2 linked regions of the Xenopus tropicalis genome follow. The protein of the gene in region 1 purifies or fractionates together with the protein of each later gene. This does not show direct contact. Links are inferred from orthologs where the notes say so. Each region holds a gene or a part of one and is shown on either strand. Other genes may lie near its edges.

Region 1 (11,036 bases):
CACTGATGATGTTTTTACATCAGTGATGGCAGGAAAGAAGCTGACTTGACCACCCTTGACCTAGATGGTGGCTGAGTCCTGGTTATTGGACTGAAACAATTGCCTCAAAATCTTATTGGGCTTAACAAGCTATTGTTTGGGAATGCTGAATAATTCTGTCAGGCAAGAACCACAAAAGGCTGTACATGCCTGCTACACTGCTACTGTTTATATATCTGATTCGGAACTCTCCATCTCTGATGTCAAAGGATGAGGCAGTGAGGTGCGAGTCTATAAATGCTAGTGCCAAAGGAATCATGCCAGAACAGGACTGGCTGGGGGAGGCAGTCCTGCATATAGTTCTACCCACTACATTGCTGGCCCGAACCCACCCATGAACCCATGGGTCATGTGGACTTTGGGCTGGCCTGCACACCTCTAATGTAGTCCTCATCAACAGGTCGCCCATTAGTAGCCAAAAGATCAAAACAACAACAAAGCCCATCAAACTGTGCAAACGTCTGCATTTGGGTAATTTTGCTTGTGCATGGTCAGTTTTAGCCTAAGACTGTAACCAAAAAGCACCAGTCTACAGTAAATGATCATTTGTTTCAGTGATGACTTACATCAGTACATAAGACTATCATAAAATCCATTGTATGGCAACTTACATGAATGGAACACAAACGTCAGGTCCAGTACCACAGTCTAAAGCAGGGATGTTCAGCCTTTGTTTCTTCTGCTGTTGTCAATCTACAGCTCCCAGAATTCCCTAACAGTTTAACCAATAATAAACCTACAAATAATTTAACTTTGTGCACCATTTTAAACAGATTAGAGCTGACACAGTCTTAGTTACTAGTTCCAGAGTATTCTGTATAGTTCAGTTAGCTGATGGCAATCTTTAAGGCCAGTGGTCCTCGCCAGATGGGCATCCAAATCCTCTGAAGTAAGAAACCCACACAGTGACTAGAATGGAAGCAGCCTTTTTTTCAAGATGTACAGTACAGTTGCTAAGAATAAGGCCAAGGCCAGAAAAATGAGCAGCTTGTCAGTGAGCTCACGCCGGTTGTACTTAGTGATAAGTTTACGCCCAAGTTGTATAGTCCCTGACATGGATTTGAACTCTTCATTGGCTTCCTGGATGGTCCGTGATGACGTGGCTATTGGGAAAATATACAGAGCATGTGACAATCTTGCAAAACCTGTCTGTTTCTATACCTGTTCCTACTGTCTCCCAGGAATTTATAACCCCATCTTTGTGCTTTAGGGTAATGGCACGCAAGGTGTTTTGCTCACTACAATCCCCTCAGGTAGAACCTTAATTTTGTCATTCTCCAGACTAGGAATCCTGCTGCCTGTGGAACACTAGTCATTATCAATAGATAATGCTGCTTTCTCTATATAACATTTGCAGATGAAATCCCATTAAGTATAATGGGAAGTATTGGACTGGTTTCAGGTATTACAATTGCTGCAGTTCTTCCTTAGAAATAAGAATTGTACAAACTTCCATGAGCCAGTATAATTAAGTGCTCTGTAACTATCTTATGTATTTGCAAAGAAGCTAATATTTCCTTCTCTCTCATCCTGTCAGCTTCTCCATACAGACCTCTTCATTTACAGTACTATTTATGTAAAGAAATGATAACATAATTAAACTTGCATTTTTACTTACATTATTTATTAATTTCTAACTATTATGACTTACTCTAACTCTGTTCTATTTAATTATGTTAAAAAGGACAACAATCTTCTTTATAAAAAAAATGTAATTACCATGTTCACTGATGCAATAGTGGGGGTTGTCCTCCCTTCAGACTGCTGCTGGTATTAGATCTGGAGCTTAGAGTTTGGAGGTGAGAGTGTATTAGGGGTTAGGGCCAGGGATCTGTGTGTTGTGATAGTTTAACAGAGGAGGTATGGCTGCAGATGGATTGCATGGTGATTGGATGTAACTGTTTGTGGGTCACGTTTCCTGGAATGAAACTTTGCCCATACAAAGGGAATGCTTTTAGTTTTGCAATTTACCTTATTACTCAGTTTTAACCTCAATAAATCTCCTTTTCTAGCTGAATCACTTCTATGTCAATTATGCTTATAAATGACTATAATTATTCAATTAAATCAGAGTGAAAACAACATTTTTTTTCCATTGATGCAGTGTTTTCTGTTTCAGCCATTATGTCACACAGATCTTAGTCCCACCAGTGTCAGATTGTCTTTCCCTGATTGGTTCTCCAATACAAGAAACTGGATAAGGGGTGAGAGTTGCAACAACTGAAATAAACACTGGACCACCAATAGAAAAAAATGAAAGAATTATAACAATATACCATCAGTACCTCTCTCAATATCTTGAACTGCATTCCTTCATTTGTGTATTGGGAGCACAATGAACTGTGTGTGTTTGTCAGAGTTTGGTGTTAGCCACAATTGAGGAAAGGGTGAGGAACTTTAGGAGCAGCACTCCATCCTTACTAATAAGACAATTTTCAAGTCTGGGGTAAAAGTGCATTTATGGGCACTGAAACGTGCATACAGATCCTCCATACCTAGTGTCTGCATGGTTACTTCACTCTGCCCCACTTGCTGTGCCATCATTCGACTGATACCCATCAGGCTCTCGGTGATGTTGCTCGTTGACTGTGCCAGGTTTTCCTTTGCTACTTTTCTGTTGGGAACAGATTGAGTTGGCTACAACTTGTATCACATTTAGATGCAGTACAAGTTATACTAACTGAATGCGCAAAGAGTGACCGGTAAACAAATGCGTCGAAATTTCCTGATTTTGAGAATTCATAATAAGATTCAGTTTGAAATTGATAGATACTGAGTTAAAGTATTTTCTAAAAATAAATTCTTGTTGTTTTGTTTTTGCGTTTAAGACTTTCAGAAACTTCATAAACACTATAGTAATTGGCATTTCTCTATTCCAGAGCTTTTGAGGTTTTCTGGAAAATCCCATACAAGCAACAGTGACCAGGGAAGGGATTAACAAGGGTTAATGAAAGAAAGGGTGAAATGGCTATGTGGTCTGTAGCAGTCTAAACTGTCTTCAAAATCAACACCCTAGAAGCAGTTTCTATAGACTTGCAGAATGACCCTCTTAACAAAAACACTGTACCTCTGCCTTGTAGGGTCTCCTCCATCGAGCAGTTCATCCTTCTCTGCATTATCTATTGCTTGCTTGCATGAAAGGTTTGCCTTTCGCCACACAGTCTGGTTGCTGAAATCAACATCACAATGGATGAAAAGCAGTTGTTAATTTTGCTTAAGAAAAATTAAAATGCACACACAATCAAATATGAAAGGCATAAGATTTGGCAGAGTTTACAAGAGCAACCTCATATAAGGCAGATATGGTAGATGATTGAAATTATACACTGGTTGTATTATTATAATGATCTAAAAGATTATTTTTAAAAGATAGGTTGAATTATTTTCACCTGTAACAAATTCCAGCACCACCTCCCTATTTGTAAGAAGCATTAAAATAGGGCCACTAGTCATTCATACTAGTTACCGAGAAAGGGGTGCAAAGTTCAGAGTCAGCACAACATGGTCAAGGTGCTGAAGGTAGGCATGGGGTTGTTCCCCATGATGTTGGGTCTCTGACAAAGATTCCCAGCCTTAATTAGCACAGCAAAATACCACAAAGCCACCTTTCACTAAAGTAGAACTGTGTGTAGTACTGGTCACTGACCAACAATTCCCTTGGGGAGCTTAGAATTCACCCAGCAACATGTGGGCTAATGGGAAAGCAGAGAGAGAGTATGTCTCAGCCAAAACATGTATGAGCAACTGCAGGACAGCTTTGTAGGACAACTACAGAGCAATATTGATTAACCTTGTGTTGTAAACATATTGAGAGGCAAGCAAGAAAAGTTCTTCACCTGTTTTATATAACATTTATTTATTAAGCTATGGGGCCATTTTTCGCACAGCTCAAGATGTAAGCAGCAGACCATACACACCTTAACATCTGTTTCTTGTGGCACTCCATCTCCTTCAGCAATGCTTGCTTGTCAGATTCCTTATCCTGCTCCTTAGCCAACTGTTCAAAATCCTTTTCCAAAATAACAAAGAAGTATATCACCAATTATAGGTTTAGAAAACTATTACCTGGATGACTTTAAAGGTGATCACTTTTGGTGATGAGCAATGATTCATGCAAAAATGTTTTTTTTTTTTTGTAAATCCAAGCAAGTAAACAAGTACTGTAATCCATCAAGACAAATGACTATAAAATTGTGCAAAGTACTCTTAGAACTACTTTTAATTATTTTTATTTTAGTTTTAAAGAGATTAGCTGTTTTGAAATGGCTAATACAGGGATCCCCAACCTATCTTACTCATGAGCCACAGTCGAATGTAAAAAGACTTGGAGAGCAACACAAGCACCATAAAAGTTAACGGAGGTGCCAAATAAGGGCTGTGATTGGCTATTAGGGAGCCTCTATGCAGTCTATCAGCTTACAGGGGCTTTATTTGGTAGGAAATCTTGTTTTTATTCAACCAAAACTTGCCCCCAAGTCAGGAATTCAAAAATAACTACCTGGTTTGGGGGCACTGAGAGCAACATCCAAGGGGTTGGGGAGCAACATGTTGCCCCCGAGCCACTGGTTGGGGATCACTGGGCTAATATAACATATTTGAAACAACAGCGCCACCTGCTGGATATTTCAGCTGGCTGGCTACTGTGACTGGCTACTGTTGGCTAAAAATGAATTGCCTGAGATAAGAAACATTTTGTAATGATGCTCTGCTTAGAAAGTGGAGTCTCTGGTGTTTCTGTGATCAGTTCTAGGGAGAGCAACACCTTAAAATGTTTCTTTTCTCAGGAAATTCATTTTTAGCCACTTTTAGCCCATTGGCCTAAAATAATCAGCACTTCAAATAACTTCTAATAACTGAGAAAGTAGAAAAAATGTACTTTGCAAAAGTGCTTAGAAAAAAACTCTGAGCGAATAATATGCTTTGCTTTGAGGGCTCCCAATATTATGGGCCAGTGATTCCCAAACAGTGGTTCATGAGCAACATGTTGCTCCCCAAACAATTGGATGTTGCTCCCAGTGGCCTCAAAGCAAGGGCTTATTTTTAAATTCCTGGCTTGGTAGCAAGTTTGGGTTGCATAAAAACCCAATATAATGCCAAACAAAGCCTCTGTAGGCTGCCAGTCCACATAGGGGCTACCAAATAGCCTATTATAGCCATTATTTGGCACCCCAGGAACATTTTTCATGCTTGTGTTGCCAATTCTTTTTACATTTGAGTGTGTCTCACGGGTAAAAAAGGTTGGGGATCCCTGTTATAGGCAGTAAATGGACTTTTAATGTTTTAAAATATAGTTTAATCATAGGGCAGAGGCCCCAATTACTTATTATCAACCTCTCTTGTGGTTAAGAATTTCTAATTACCTAGCCAGTTTTTCCCTCAAAAATGCAATGTCTTTACTAAATTACACAATGTACCTGTATTCTCAGCCTCAGCAGGTGGAATTTTTCCTTGACTTGAGCATTGAAATCATTTAGGGTGCTTAGAGGACCAGGGCATTCTCTGATGTCCTATAAAAGACAAATCATTTTAAAACGTCTACATACAATACAGAAGAGCTAGGGGGATAAGGATCCAATGAGAAAGTACCATCTGCTGTGCTGTTCCCAAACTGAAATGACATAGTGGCACATGAGATGCCTAGCAAACGTCATTAAAAAATGACAGTTAATATGCTGGTAGTAACCACCAGCCTCCAGCCAAGGATAAAGTTGGGTTGTAAGTGGGTGTAGTCAAGGCATAATAAATTGTGGTTGGGTGTGCAAAAAGCCCAGATTGGCAATCTGTGGATTCTGGCAAATGCCAGAGGGGCTGCTGTAAGAAGCCATAGACAGACACTGTTTGGGACATTGTGTACTTGAAGTGCCAGGGCCTATTTTGAATCCCAGGCTTGGTGTGCCATAAGTGTGACCAAAATCACTTGGATTCAGTTCTCTTGAGGTATCAGCTTTAGGAAGTTATTCTATACAAAGATATTACTGGTGACAAAGACTTGATTACTGGGTGCTGATATTTTGACATTTTGGTTAAGATATACTAACATTCACTGGCTAACTAGCATACAGATATCCAGATGGCCTGCTGTATGGTTACAGCTACTTCTGGCTCTGCAAGCATGGAGGCGAAGGTGGTGGTCACTATGTGGCCGAGGGTGTAAGTGGCTCTCACCCCAACATGTGAGGGCCCGGAAAAGTCTTTTGCTTGGAAGCCTGACCTTATTTTATGCCACTGGTAACAACTAATGTCAGTGTTAATTCTGGTTCATAATGGCCCAGATGACAGAAGGGTTAAACTTGAGGGTTAAACTTGAGGCCCCCTGCTAACTCAGTAGTATAGAGCCTATGAGTACTGATAGCAGCACTGCTCATTAGCTGGGAAAGCATTATAGCTATTTCAGTTATCAGCCAGTTAAATGTATTATACCTACATAACTGTTAGGGTGCAGTACATGGAACATGTAGCAGGAAGCCCATGTAATAATTTAGGAAAATAAAACTGCCAGGCTCTGTTAACCAAACCATACAGTAGGCTGTGACCGTAGGGAACTATCAGTACATGCCGGTAACGCTACACCAGTCCGCATTCAAACATAAACCATTGAGTTTGGAGTCTTCGGAACTGGTACGTAAGCTCGGCCTGCCGCTAGGTGGCGTTGCATAGGGAATATTACAAACTCGGACCCTTAATGGTAAGCTGAATTCCCTACTGCCTCCTGCATGTAGAAAGTCAGTATTATTAATGGCGATCACCCCTTCAGCACCCCACTGCGTTACCTGGATCAGCGCTTTGATCTCCAGGTCATATTTAACGATTTCCTGGTGACAAATTCGGACGTGGACATCCTGCGAATCTGCCATCGCGACAGGCTTAACAACGGTGCGCGGAATGGGACAAAATACCATGCACCGATGACTCTGACTAAGACAAAAATAAACCTTTGCGCCATCTGCTGTATGGAGAGGTAATTTCTTTGCTCGTATGGACAGCGATGAGGGGGCACAGAGACATCTAGAGGTGCTTTTGGGAAAACGCACACAATAAGAAACGTTCTGCTCAGTTCAAAGGGGTGTTAGGGTGAAGACACACTGAGCTACTAGTAGCAGCTACTTGTCACGGCTACAGAAATAGACAATGCTGATCATTTACTGTTAATTGTCTCTATGTGGCAGAGGTAATTCTCAGTATTGTCTATGTCAGGGTATTTTCTGGCGTTTAGTAGCTGTGACAATTAGCTGCTACTAAGTAGCTCTGTGTGTCTTCACCCTTAAAGCAAGTGAACAGTCAACTTCAAATGTAAACAGGCTTAGACTGGACTATGGGGTTTCCTGCTGAATGACATTAGAGACCCTTTTTTGCTGTACATAAACACAGAATATGTTGGAGCTTTATAAATGCTTGTTAATAATAAAAATAATAGATATTTCGGGGTATGAGTGGAAAGGGTACAGTACAGTAAGGGCAGCAGTATGTGGCTGTGGAAAGGAGAACTATAGGAGGCTTTGCATGAGCCCATGGTACTTCAGTGATCTATAGTTACAACCCTCAGCTCCCACCAGTGGTTCAGATAAGGGAGGACAGAATTTTGGTGGTTGTTTTTCTGCAACATCTGGGGCTCAGAATATTACCTGTCCCGAACCTATCATCTATTTTACTCCCTTTTGAGAGGGATGTTTCTGGGGCTGAAAGCTGCACATCTGGGCACAAACATGACTGGCCAACTTTCTGCATTTTTTCATTACAAAAATACCCCTAGTAACCAATCAGATAATTAATTTTAAAGACCAGAAAAGTAAATGCTGCTTGATGATTCACTGCTGTATTATTCTAAAACTGAAGAAAGTTATTCTTGGCACAAGTAAATTAAATAATGTTGGGGTTATTTTGTATGGTTCCCAACCCACCTCTTATCGCTTCTGCCCTGCCATGCAGTACTTTACCTTTTCCTCTTCCCCCGGTGCTCCTTTGTTTAAAATAATTGCCTGGTTAGTCTATAATTTTCCTTGTGACTATCTTAAAGGAACAGTTCAGTGTAAAAATGAAAATGGAGTGGGCAGATGTCTAACATAATAGCCAGAACAGCTCTAAGCTGTTAGCAATCAATAACCAATCAGTGACCTGAGTGGGCCATATAGGACATAACTGTTCAGTTAATTTGCATTTGAATCTGACCTGCCTGCTCACAAACTAACTGAACAGTTATGTCCTATGTGGGCCCCCCTAAAGTCACTGACTAACTAAGAGGTTAGACAGCTGAAAGCAGGAAGTCAGGTTCTGGCTATTATGTTAGACATATGCTTACTCCAGCCTTTATAGATTACATTTTTGCCTAATTATATTGGAAATATTTTATATTTTGCACAGTCTATTTTTCCCAGTTTAATTTTTACACTGAACTATTCCTATAACAGTGTTCATACCCACATATGTATTAAAAGGCACAACTTTTTTCCTGTAGCAGTAACCTATAGCAACCAATAAGATGTTTGCTTTTAAACAGCTGACCAGTGCATCTACCTGCTGATTGGTTGCTATGAGTTACTGATCCTGGGCAAACATAGTGCATTTTATGATTATGACTTTTTAGTGACTTGCTGCCCTTGGCTTGGCATCACATTCCAGAGTCTATTAAGTGTGGGAGGGGGCAAATGCCTGTGCTGTTTTGTCTCTGTTGGACTGTTTATTGTACCTGTGCCAATCCAGGGCATCACTTACCTAGGAGCACTGCGAAGGTGGTGCTGCAGCAGGTGAAAGAAAGCTACCCATCCAGGGTCAGTGTTAGCAAATAATTCTGTAAAGGAATACGTAGAGGTAGAGTCTTTAAGGCAGGGGCGTGTCCAACGCGTCGGACCTTTTTGACACTAGGGAGGACCCGTACTTTGGGATTCGGCTCGTACCGGTGACGTCACCGGAGGAAGGAGAACGGCGTCCAGCCGCTTCAAGGAGCCTGTTCCTCCCTTTGTCTATACCCGAGTAAGTTCCCGGCCGGGACAAGGGGCTTCTTTATTTCTGTGCATTAAGTTCGTGTGGGACTAACTCTCCACAAGGCTATATACCTAATCTGTAGAAGTGTCTTGTGTAGCACTTGCACTTTCCTGGGATACTTTATACTGATACGTATGCTTATACTCTTTGCTAAGTGGGGTGTGTGTATCGGTCTGAAGGGAGTACTATAAGTAGTGCTGCCCTCTCCACTAAGTGAGGGGCCCGTTAGGGGTTAGACCCCTCCGGTGTTATCATTATTTATTTGGATGTTTGGATATCATGTAACATTTATTCCTACTTAACTTTGCTGTATATCTAATTGATTGTTCCCTACATGCTTTTTAATATAGGTTTTCCTCCCCAGGTTTCTCCAATTTATATGATTTATCCTCTAATGAATTAAGAATTTTGTGCTGATTTCATCCTCTAATGAATTAAGAATTTTGATTGGATTCATTCTAGCAATTTTACTATTTCATCTATTGTTTTTAATTGAACCTATGATTGGTGCTTTATTATTCTATGTATTAGAATTGTTTCCTATTTTATGTATATTGATTGTTCTGTGTATATATTGATAAATTGTAATTTTTAATTTATTGATTCACTGTGCAATAAATATCGATTGGTTGATTTTATTTCACTTGGTGGTTTGTTTGAGCGCCAACTCTTTTAGAGTAATATTTGTGCACTTTGGGATTAGTTTGGAGGAGGGCAGCTAATCAACACACCTAGTTCACATTGATTTAATTGATAATATAGAGATCACTCTTTACCACGTTTAAATATTTTTTTTTTTTCCCTCTTCACTTTCACTTATACGGTTCTCCTTCTACTTATCCTTAAGCGCAGACAAGGTTTATTCATATATATTGCTGTTAAAGTACTGACAGTCGTATAGGATGGGACGGAGCAGGCAAAGACTAAGTTAGGGAGATTAGCCAACAATCAGGAGGTCCAGAGATCAAACCCCAGAAGAGCCTAACAGTCAGACTGGAAAGAAGACTTTGTGAATAGTCCCACATGTATAAAGGTATCGGTGCTGATTTATTAAATATCAAATTAGGTCATCCATGGGGAGTCACTGCTCTTAAATTCCTGTCAGTGCTTAACAACCTGACACTTTTATCAAGGAAAACGAGTATAGCATTTCCTCAGAGTGTGTTTGATTGCTGTGAGTAGTCAAAGACCGTTGTATTCTATTCTTATAAGGGCTTAGCAGCAGTGCTGTTGCTGGGATGCACTAATTTCATTAATATTAAATGCATGAAGTCTAGTCAGACTTTCTAGAAGCAGCAGTGCTGTTGCTGGGCTTCACCGATTTTATTAACATTAAATACATTAAGTCTAGTCAGACATTATAGAAGCACCCCTTTTTCATAAGATCTGCTAGCCTTACATTGGAGGAAAAAAAGGAGAATGGGCCAAAGTCCTACCCTAGTTTTGGGGTTTTTTGATGAAGAGGTGCTAGATTTGTCCAGCTCTAGTAATCAATAGCAACCACTAAGATGTTTGTGAAGGCTACCTGTTGATTAGTTGCAAAAGATTACTAAACCAAAAGCAAACTTTGCACAGATTCAGCTCTTTCACATGCTTTGGTTTTGCCCCTCACCCCCTTTAAGCTGCAGTAGCAAGTCCTAGTAGCAGAGTCCTGCCTCCTTTCAGGAGTCATCACAGGAGGGAGCAGAACAGGTGGAATGGGGCTACACAGCTTGGGGATGTGTCCAACAATCAATCAGTTTCAGATCTGTGGAGATTCCAAAGAAATAAAACATAGAGGAAGCCCCAAATGACATTCTAATGTCCCAGAGGGCCATGTGAGTTAGTGATGGTAGCCGTATCTATTTTCATACACCACACTGGCACAAGGTAAATAAAAAATGCTAGGTTTATGTATATATGCTCTCATTTTTTCTGTTATGGAACTATATTTGCCCTCTATTTCCCCTTCTTCTTTCTGTACCCCCTCTACAACGTTCTTGATAAAAACAAATAAAAATTGAATTGAAAAAAAATGC
Region 2 (10,456 bases), about 34 Mb from region 1:
TTTCATATGATATATACATGATTTCATAACTAATAGTAGTCAATACAGCTAATCTTTTTTTCTGCTTTAAGGGAAGCAGATTGTTGGTGTTAGTATCACATTTAGTTCACATTAATATTATGATAAAGTTTTACTAACTGGCAAATAATATCAGGGGCAGGAAGTATTGATGTATTCAGGGCGATACAATAAAAATACCATATTTTATCTGAAGGGTGGTTGTTTAAATGTGACTATTTATATATATATATATATATATATATATATATATATATATATATATATGTATGTATATTTTTATTTATAAAGCGCTACTTATGTACACAGTGCTGTACAGTAGAATACATTAATACAAACAGGGGGTTAATAAGATAGTAGAAAAAAATACAAAGTATAACAATAAATACAAATAATACAAGATACAGTTGCAATAAGTTAAGACACAAGAGGATGGAGGTCCCTGCCCCGTAGAGCTTACAATCTATATGGGAGGGTAACTTACAGACACAAATAGGCAAATATAAGTGCTGTAGGTCACAGTGGGTGACATTACAATATAAGTGCTATTTCCCAGATCAGGTGCTGGGTGAGTGCTCCAAAAGGTAGTCTTTTAGATTGGTTTTAAAAAGACTGGGGGAGGATTCTCTCCAGAGGAAATATATATATATATATATATATATATATATATATATATTGTCATTTTGAACAACCACCCTTCAGATAAAATATGGTCCCCAATAATATCACATAAAGCCACAAAAGTGAATAGGTTCTGTGTTTGGGTGCTGAAAAGTTTTATAGAATTCAGACACTTCAGAATTTTTAGAATATTTGTCAAGAGAGTTTACTGTGGGTATTTGCTATCATCCACACTTAAGGCTGTCCTAAAATCATACACCACTGGTGGAAGATGCTAGGACTGTGTGCTGTATTTATTGAAGCGCACAGTCCTGTCACCATTTGTACAATTATTTTAGAGCATGGGAGAGATCGGGGAAGCAAGTATTTATTTTTTTTCCCCCCCACCAGGCCAAATTTTTATTATTATGATTAGTGTTCTCTTATGGATAATGAATTTATTACTGTATTTTCTTTCTCTGCAGGAGGATCCAATTGAAATCTGCTTGCGCAACATTTAAATCTTAGCATCTTTACTATATAGCTTTCAGTTTGTTTACTTGTATTTTTGCGATTTGTGTCTATGTATTTTGTTAAAGATAACATTCAGCAATTAAACCTTAAAAGAATTTATTATTATTATTTTGCAAAATAAAAAAAAGATGATTTTAACAATATGATATTATATTTGATTCTTGCATCTGAAAGGAGTTTTTATGTCCTCTCCAGATTGGCATGTTTTTTTCCCCCCACTTTCAAAAATATATTGGTAGGTTAATTGGTTCCTGATAACACTGACCCTAGTGTATTGAGTGAATGTGATAAGGACCTTATATTGCCAGCTTCACTGGGATAGGAACTGATGTGAATGATACTCTGTAAGCTCTGTAAAGAATTGCTAGTAGTTAACGGGCAGTGGTAAAAATGTAGAGTTTTAATGATCACATTGCAGTTGCTATACAGCTGTACAATGTACCTTGACCAATGTAAAGGAAACTTCAGGAAGTGTTACTTTCCAGCATTTGGCCAGTTTGTTCGCAAATTGAAAAGAATTTCAACATCTTGTGGCGCTAGCTTATAGATCCCAAGTTCATTCAAGGCAGCTGTTGAAGACGGGAGTTTGTCGTTAGAACTGCATGCATTCATACTCTCACTGGCAGTCTGAAGAACGTCCTTTAGCAGCAGGGCTGGTCCCACATTCAAATTCAGGATGATGCAGGCTTCTTTCACACTGTTGGGGATGCAGAATATATATGAATGTGAAGATCTCTCCACACTACCAAAAAAGCAGAATTCAGAAACACCTGGCTATGAAGATTTCTCTTTTTTAAGAAACAAATTATGGGCCTTTAGACACAATATTGAAAATACGATTATGTAGGGACAGCAATTAACTTATGCGGATGAACATGGCTTTTTTCTGGAAAAGCTTAACAAAAATGGTTAAAAAAAAAAAATTATATATATATATATAATATATTTATGCATGAGTCTTCGCTTTAATTCTGCATGGAGGCTAGATCTGCAGTTATTTGGCAGTAACATTTGTAAAGAATATATCCTCATGTTTAATATGCGCCAAAATAGAAATGCTCATATTAACTTAACCACAATTTCCCAATATAAGCCCTGGTTTACTTTGAACACAGGTTTATATTTACCCTTTTAAGTATTGGACTTGTTTGGGGAACCAGTAGCATCATGTCACAAAGTTTCACACATTGGCAGTGCACTTCAGGTAAGCATAAAAAGCCGCAACAGTTAATATTAAAATTGATCAACCTTTATTTGCACATCTAAAAAACACAGCTTGAGGTCTTAATTGTTTTGTGACAGCGCACTTCCTCGTGAATATAGCATCATAGCACCTTTCATTCTCAGTCTCAATAGTAGTTGTGAGAATAAAGGCAAATTGTGATGAAATACACAATATTTGCTTTCTGCTTTTTTTCTATTGGTTTGATATGGAGGTACATGATTGTATTCTCCATCAGTCCCAGTAAGTATTCAAATTAAAGATGTTTCCTGCCTATATTATTAAAATATCCAATTGTAATTACTTCCTGGTAAATAAAATTCAGGAACTGTGAATACCTTTTTTCCCCCCAATCCTGTACTGCAAACATATATGTTTGGGTTGAAGTTAAAGCTTTAAGGATCAGTGTTGCATGAAATAGCATTAGGAACCAACCACATTAATGTTCTTAGTTAGTGTCCATGGCACCACAGTACCAGCCCTGCAAAATCCCTCAGCATGCTGTAACTGGGCCAGGCAACAGGAAAGGACATTCTATAGAGCGTAATCACTTACTGTTTAAAATAATTCTCTGGTCTTTTACAATAGTGAGAGAATAAAGGGAAGAGATTCCGTGACATATCAAACTGTAGCTGTGCTGCTCCCCCTTCGTTGAAATGATTTGCCAGGATTATCTAAGAAAAATAAAGCTCAATAAATGAGTTGTGCCTATACAGTACAAATATGTTTCAGCTGAAATGAGTACTAACATCCTGATAAATGAACAGATCCAACTTCTCAGCAAGCATCTGCCAGACAGTTTTAAACAAAGCATGACATAGCTGCTGCTCCATTTGCAAGAGGCGGTCTCTCAGTGCCAGAAGCATTGGGCAGGCTGTGCTAGACAGGGACATGACAGCTTGTTCTGATTGTGAAGGCAGTGACAGCCACCTGCAACAACCAATAACATTTTGGTCAGTTTAGCAACAACCTGCAGCAATCATTTTCCTTATCAGATTTAAAAATGTATTTACATGCTATTGATAAAAAAGAATACAGATAGATATGGTAATATCTATAGCTAATTGATTTTTTGTTGACATGGCTTTTGCAGGTCACTTAACATGCTTATGTTACCAGACATACTGTAGATTGTAATACCTACAAAGCAGGGGTATCACAGTGCCTGAATAATTTTTTGGGTACTGCTTTGTAATAACTTCTTGTAACACTGCAATGGTCAATGCACAAACACTTGTATTTACTAAAGGACAAAGGTATTTGAAAATTTTTAACAAAAAAAAAAATGAATTGGGGGGAACAGAAATTTTCCAGGTGATTTGATTTCTTATGGTTTATGAACTGAGTCTTAAAAATGCATATTTTTTTTTAGTTTTGCCAGTAAGAATTAAAATTTTTGCTCTGCCATATTAGTGGTAGAATATTAGAAAGTGCAGATTAGAATCTGAAGGTTTTACGTTTACCTTTCTTTTTTGTACATTCTTGCAGCCTCCTTGACCTCTTTAAATACATGTTCTACCTGACGAGATAGCATGTCATTTTTTAGACGCTCCAGAAGGTTGATCAGGTCATCGAAGACAGATATTTCCATGGAAGCCAGCTGCCCAAGCTGTAGCTTACTGCTGGCATTGAGATCTGTGCAAATCTCCAGAGCAGCCTGTTGAAGCTGTAAAAAAAACTGGAAACACAGAAGGAAAGTTAGGGCAAGGGCACAACTAAATTTTGAGCTATGGAAGTTAGCACTGCATTCTGATAAGTGACAAAGGAACAATAATGCAGACAAGCAATGGTCACACAAGTCTAGCTACATTGTCTTGGTGTTTTAATGCCTAAAGCAGACTACATATAACTGTTACCCCTCCATCTCATCTCTCCAAGATGTGTGGATAGGAGGAATAAAAGACTGAGTATGCCCCAGTGGCGGCAATTAATAGTATGGGTCTTACTTACAACATTGTCAGCCCAATCTCCAAGAACTGTTGCAATGTAGTTGACAGCATTGAGTATTGCACAATATCTGAAGCCCAGGGGATCTCTGCTCTCTTCCTTCATCACTTGTGTTAAACGTATCCTGAAGTCATCAACTAAGTCCTTTTGCAGCTCCAGGAATTTTAGCTTTCTGGATGCTGTGGGCAAATTTCTGTACCTGTCTAAAAAAAACACAAGCTCATACAACCATCAACATTATAATAAGTGGGGCCACCAGAGGAACTATGGGTAGTTGCATGTTAAAAGTCTGAATACATAGTAGCAATGCTCAAGGATCTCATTTATTTCATATGCCACATCTATGTTATTAGAATTAGATTCCATTCACATGAACAGGTTGCAAGAGAGCTTATTTGAGTTTTTTTGGCTCATGTGCTATAAGCCTTATAGTTAAATGAACAAAGTAGCATTTGGTCACTGGGTGATAAATTAATATCTGTTATAGTGGGCTCTCCTAGCATGAAAAGAAGTAGACTGAGGTAGCACTGTTTGGGACAGCCTTTGAGTTACCTGTGATAACAAGTAGGAGAGTCATAAATGTTTCAGCAGAATCTGGAACCTTCATTTCATCCACATCAGATATATCTTTATATTGTGAGGTCCAGGCAGCCTCAGCAGACAGCATGGAATCCATCTTTTCTAGAGCCACTAGAAAAACATTGATGCAACAAACACATTTTAAACTTTTGAAAAGATGATACTCAATGCAAACGTTTTGTCGCCCTTGCTAAATAACATTTAATTCATTTTACAAGTCAAAAGTAGGAAACAACTGCAGGAGTTACATTTAATTTCACCAAAAGAAAATACCGTATATACTCGAGTATAAGCCGAAAAATGTGCTTAAAAACTCATGCTTGGCTTATACTCGAGTATATAGGCTGTGCTGGCATTCGGCTCGCACGCCGAATAGTTTCACAAGAGGTGCCTCTTTCCCGTATTCATTAGTGATTTGCTGGCACAGCTGCACAGCTCACCCACTGAACGCCAGATTGATCTATTACAGTGCATTTAAGAATGAGCATGTATCAAGCTGACTGTATATAATGAAATGGAAACCTGCCATAAGCGTACTTACATTGTATTTGTAAGGTGAGCATCATGGTCTTTATTTTATGCGTTTGTGATCACAAATCTAGTTGAAAGAAATATAACTTAACTAATTTTTTGTTCTGCAATATCAAGCCATGGCTCTGTTTGTCTGAGGCTGCATTGGTCTAAGTAGAGCCATATTTTCTTGTCTGGGAACTTTTTTTTGTATATCCAAGTACACACTAACAAGCATGGTAGCTGACTGTCAATGCACACAGGGGGTGAAATTCAGGGCATACTAAAACTCAGGGCAGAGGGCAGCAGATCACACACCAGTGGAGAAAACACCTCCTAGCCTTAGCCATCATAACTGGTACAAATTGTACACAATCAAATTACCTTGCCTTGAGGCAAACAGCTCCATCACAGGGAATCAGTAGCCAATGTCATTAATATTATTATTTGCTGATATGCAGATAATGGCAGAGTTAATTTGCACGTGCGTGCCGAATGCCAGGGCAATTCCATGTATAACAATCCAGGAACTCATAGCCACAGTAGCTGCTGCATTTCCCACCCTAGGCTTATACTCGAGTCAATACGTTTTTACAGTTTTCTTAGGTAAAATTAGGTACCTCGGCTTATATTCGGATCGGCTTATACTCGAGTAGATACGGTAATTGTGGCATGTGCAACAGTTTGGACATCTTTTTAATTGTTCAGTGATAAATGCTGTTTTTGCAACATCTTTCACCCTAATTGGTTCATTAGGCCTTAATAACCATAGGAGTTGTTACCTGTGGACTTAATAAAATCTCTGAGACCCCAAACTTTGGGCTGTCACTCGGCAATTACAGGCTCCTTTAGCAACTACGCGACGATCTGAAAATAAAGCCAATTGATGCCTACAAAGCAGGAGAGGGATATATAAAAATGCTCCAGCTTGCAAAGCATTGGAAGTCAATGCAATATGTGAAAACTTTCAGAAAAACAAACCCTCATATGGGTACAAAAGACTAGCAGGAAGAATTGGCTGACACAGCAGTCATGTTACACAGTCAACAGGAGGAAGCCTTACAAGCAACCTAATCACAGACATCAATGTCTGAGGCATGTAAAACAGCATCTAGACAAACCAGAGTGCTTTTGGCAAAAAGTGCAGGGACTGATGAAGTCCAAATTCAACTCTTTGGCTGAAGCTAAAATGGGGCTGGATCCTACACCAAGACAATGATCCTAAACATACCTGACAAGCCACAATAATGAGAAAAGCAAGCTGAAGGATTTGGGATTGCTCTCACAGTACCCTGACTCAAACATCATTAAAAATCTGTGGTTAGATCTTAAACAGTTAAAAATGACAAATTATCTGAATGGAAAGTGGTAAAAATCCATACAACTAAATGTGAAATATTTAAAGATAGATGCAAAAGCCATTAACCAGCTGTTATCTGAGCCAAAGGGGGTGTTAATAAAGCATAGGAACAAAGAGAATAGTATGTAAGGCACATACAAAAGTTTGGACACCCTTGTGCCAACATTTAACATTAATGAAATAAAATATATGCGCATTAACATTTGCAGGGGGTTTTTTTTGTATCATACATTTTTCAATATGGGATAGGGAGGAGGGGTACACAGAAAGAATAAAAGTTCACATTTAACTAATGGATATATTAATCAGAATTTAATTGTGCTTATAAGATGGTCACTATTAACAGTTAATTAAAAGTCTTAGCGTTAAAGGAGAAGGAAAGGTAAAAACTAAGTAAGTTTTATCAGAAAGGTCTATGTAAATACAGCCATAAGCACTCACAGAAACACTGCAGTCCTTTCTCAAAAGAAACAGGTTTTGTTGTCTTTGTTTTCCTGTGCCAGAGACACGCAGCTCTCCTCTCTCCTGCTCCCCCCTCCCTCAAGAATACTAAGAACTCACTCGCCCCCTCCTTAGGAATGTGGATCTGAGCCAATCAGCTTCCTCATAGTCTTACAAACTGCGTATGTACACCGATCTTGGTATTAGTTCAGGACCAAGGCATTATGGGTACTTTCTTTACAGAGCTCAGCATTTTTTTTTTCCTATGAGGCTTCTGATCATCTGAACAGGAGAAATATGGGGAGACATAAGGGCACTATTGAGACAACTGAAGGTATGCCTGCAGCTTGAGATTAACTCTTTATTAGCCTTTCATTCTCCTTTAAGAACGCAAAATGACAGGTTCAGGCGCAAAAAAATCAATTAGAAATAGTCACAACTAATGCAAAGCATTCTTACATTTTCTCTCCACTGTCAGCCATCTTTGAAAACAGGTTTCTTCAGATAGAATGTGCATGCAGTTTGGGAGATTGCTGGGATAACCATGTGATGTGTAAAGTTCTCTCTGAAACAAAAGTACTTCATCCACAAGGTGACAAAACAGAATGTCATCATATAGCAGTAACGGGATGTCCACTGCAAGCTTCTCCAGCACCAGCATGACTAAACCACGCGTGAACTCCAGCTGGGGAATAATCAGATACACAAACTGCTGTTAAATTGACTATATGGATTACAGGAACAATGTAATCTCTCTCCTTTTAAACTGAACTACTCATATGCAGTGTTTAAGTAGTATATAGATCTTTACTTCAACTATCTGCTTTGTATCTGTGTGTATTGTGAAATATTAGTAATCACAAGAGAAGTCATCCATCAAATCATATGGGATCCAGGGACGAAATATTCACAAAGGCTTATTATTATCAATTAATTAGTGCAATACTACTACACTGGTATGTCATTTAAAGATTATAAAATGCTCATATTTTTGCAAGATTCCCTCTTTCCATTTGAATGCTAACTTTCCTCTACATGGGTCTACTCAATATTCTGTAACCCAAAGCCACCCAACCAAGTTATGAACTACATGCAATATGCTATGTATAATCAGTATAAAGCAGAATTAAATTAAAAAAATTGTACTTCATTGACTTATAAGTACAGGTATCGGACCCCTTATCCGGAAACCCGTTATCCAGAAAGCTCCGAATTACGGAAAGGCTGTCTCCCATAGACTCCATTTTAATCAAATAATTCAGAATTTTAAAACTGATTTCCTTTTTCTATGTAGAAATAAAACAGTACCTTGTAATTGATCCCAACTAAGATATAAATAATCCTTATTGGATGCAAAACAATCCTATTAGGTTTAATTAATGTTTTATTGATTTTTTAGTGGACTTAAGGTATTAAGATCCAAATTACGGAAAGACCCCTTATCCGGAATACCCTTGGTCCCGAGCATTCTGGATAATGGGTCCTACACCTGTACTTGTAAGATGTATTAAATATGGACGTGTTACTACCCTGTTTGATTTAATATAGTTTTGTACTGAAGCTTAGTGATATGTATTCATTAGTCCCTATGTTCAACTTTGTGGTGTATGTGATTAATTTAATTCCCTTAATGCCTAAATAGATCAATGTACAGTGGCTATATCTCTGTAACCTCTTACATGTGCGTTCACAGAAGACCCAGATTTTGTCAGAATGGGCTGAATTCTTTCCTGTAAAAACTTAGTATGGTTTCCAATCCACATGAGCACTTGAGTCAGGTACCACTCAGGCTAAAATACAAAAAAAACACAACATGCTACGTTATAATAATGTTATTTTTATAAAGCAATAACACAGGCAGCTGTGAAAGGTCACATGCATAGGCAAGGTTGACACTGAATGTTCTTCAATTCTACACTGAGGAATGAGAAGTAGAGATGTCCCACTTGCATCACACCTGCTGTCACTGAACTGCAAGACCCCTAATGGTAACCACTTTGTAAATACAAAAGTAAGTAATTTCCCAAAACTGCGTGGAGCAGCTTTTATTACAGGGGGGCCAAGCAAGATCAAGAGATAATATTTACAGAAGCATCATTTTAGTGCATCTTATCTGTCCAAACCTACATCATGTCTATAAATATATTGTGTATTCACAAACAAAAGACACCAGACAGAAGTCCTTCAGTCAACATCAAAACTGAATTATCAGCAAATAAAATATATCTTACATCACCCCAAATGGATCCAAACTGGAAAGGTTCTTTGCTAAGGACAGACTAAAGACTGCTGGCAGCAGTTAAATTTAAAGAATACCAAATTAAGCTCAGTCAAAGGCAGCTGTGGCTGTTGGGCCTGGCAACAAGTTAATAGCTAGTTATCCCCTTTAAAACTATGCACACCAGAGACCTATAAGCAAGAAACAACATCATATATAAATTGATTTCCCATTTGCGCACGTTCAATTCCGATTACAGAAAAAGGAATCAGTGATTTAGTAGGCAGTACAGCCAGATTCATTATGCTTCCAAAAGAAGGACTAGAGCTAATGTAATACAAATTGAAACATTTGCACCAGGTACAGTAACCCCAAGCAACCAATAATAAGGTTGCATTTACTGGTCATCTACTAAAAAGCAAATGGTTGCTGTGGATCACCAAATGTGATTTTTATTACATGAACCTATAAGTCTGTCACCATCTGAAAGTAGCAGTGGGTAAAGGAGCCCTTTGGTGGAAGAGCATTACACCAGCCAGTGCTAGACCTCTTAGCCATGTCCTTTAAAACATTTTCTTTTCGATGTTACTGGTCCTTTAAGGCCAAATTTGGCAAATTAAGCACTTCTGTATTCCTCATGTGTTCAACTCTTATCCCCTTTTGGCTGCCTAAAAATAAAAGCTGTACTAGGAAGAGCATGATATATAACCAGGGTACCAGAGGAGCAGTCCTTTTGCTGTCATGGGACTGCAGCACCTGCATGATTAAAGGATAGCCCTATAACAAAAGTACATTCAAGACATCTCAGAGCATATTTATAAACCAGCGTATTTATTTTTTATAATTTAACAGATATGGTAAAGTCCATTGAAGTGTACAGGAAAAGAGAGGTTTCCCTAAGCCTAAAAACATAATACCAAGTTGTCCATCTCAATTTATTCCACAGAATTTTTAATTCTACTAATCATCCTCAATCAATTTTTTGTTTCAACACAATTTCTCCGGATTTTTCATATATTATGAAGCC

Evidence for each region. Proteins that work in one complex are often made in the same cells at the same time.
Region 2: the proteins of bnip1 (region 1) and rint1 purify together in Homo sapiens (co-immunoprecipitation; 3 studies listed by BioGRID and IntAct, counting the BioPlex papers as one, with this or other methods). This does not show direct contact. The link is inferred for Xenopus tropicalis from reciprocal best matches to the Homo sapiens genes BNIP1 and RINT1.

What each region holds. Positions count from the first base shown.
Region 1 is NC_030679.2:43,440,208-43,451,243, forward strand, and holds the start of bnip1 (vesicle transport protein SEC20), read right to left. Parts: upstream 6,924-11,036; 5' UTR 6,894-6,923; coding exon 6,810-6,893; intron 6,731-6,809; exon of another isoform or gene 6,494-6,730; coding exon of another isoform or gene 6,464-6,493; intron 5,547-6,463; coding exon 5,454-5,546; intron 4,049-5,453; coding exon 3,957-4,048; intron 3,209-3,956; coding exon 3,107-3,208; intron 2,654-3,106; coding exon 2,535-2,653; intron 1,143-2,534; coding exon 949-1,142; 3' UTR 1-948. UniProt on the Homo sapiens protein: As part of a SNARE complex may be involved in endoplasmic reticulum membranes fusion and be required for the maintenance of endoplasmic reticulum organization. Also plays a role in apoptosis.
Region 2 is NC_030679.2:77,078,236-77,088,691, forward strand, and holds the end of rint1 (RAD50-interacting protein 1), read right to left. Parts: intron 9,002-10,456; coding exon 8,891-9,001; intron 7,897-8,890; coding exon 7,671-7,896; intron 5,012-7,670; coding exon 4,874-5,011; intron 4,525-4,873; coding exon 4,325-4,524; intron 4,053-4,324; coding exon 3,838-4,052; intron 3,305-3,837; coding exon 3,124-3,304; intron 3,049-3,123; coding exon 2,930-3,048; intron 1,850-2,929; coding exon 1,627-1,849; 3' UTR 1,232-1,626; downstream 1-1,231. Other genes in the region: efcab10 (EF-hand calcium-binding domain-containing protein 10), read left to right, coding at 1,104-1,146. UniProt on the Homo sapiens protein: Involved in regulation of membrane traffic between the Golgi and the endoplasmic reticulum (ER); the function is proposed to depend on its association in the NRZ complex which is believed to play a role in SNARE assembly at the ER.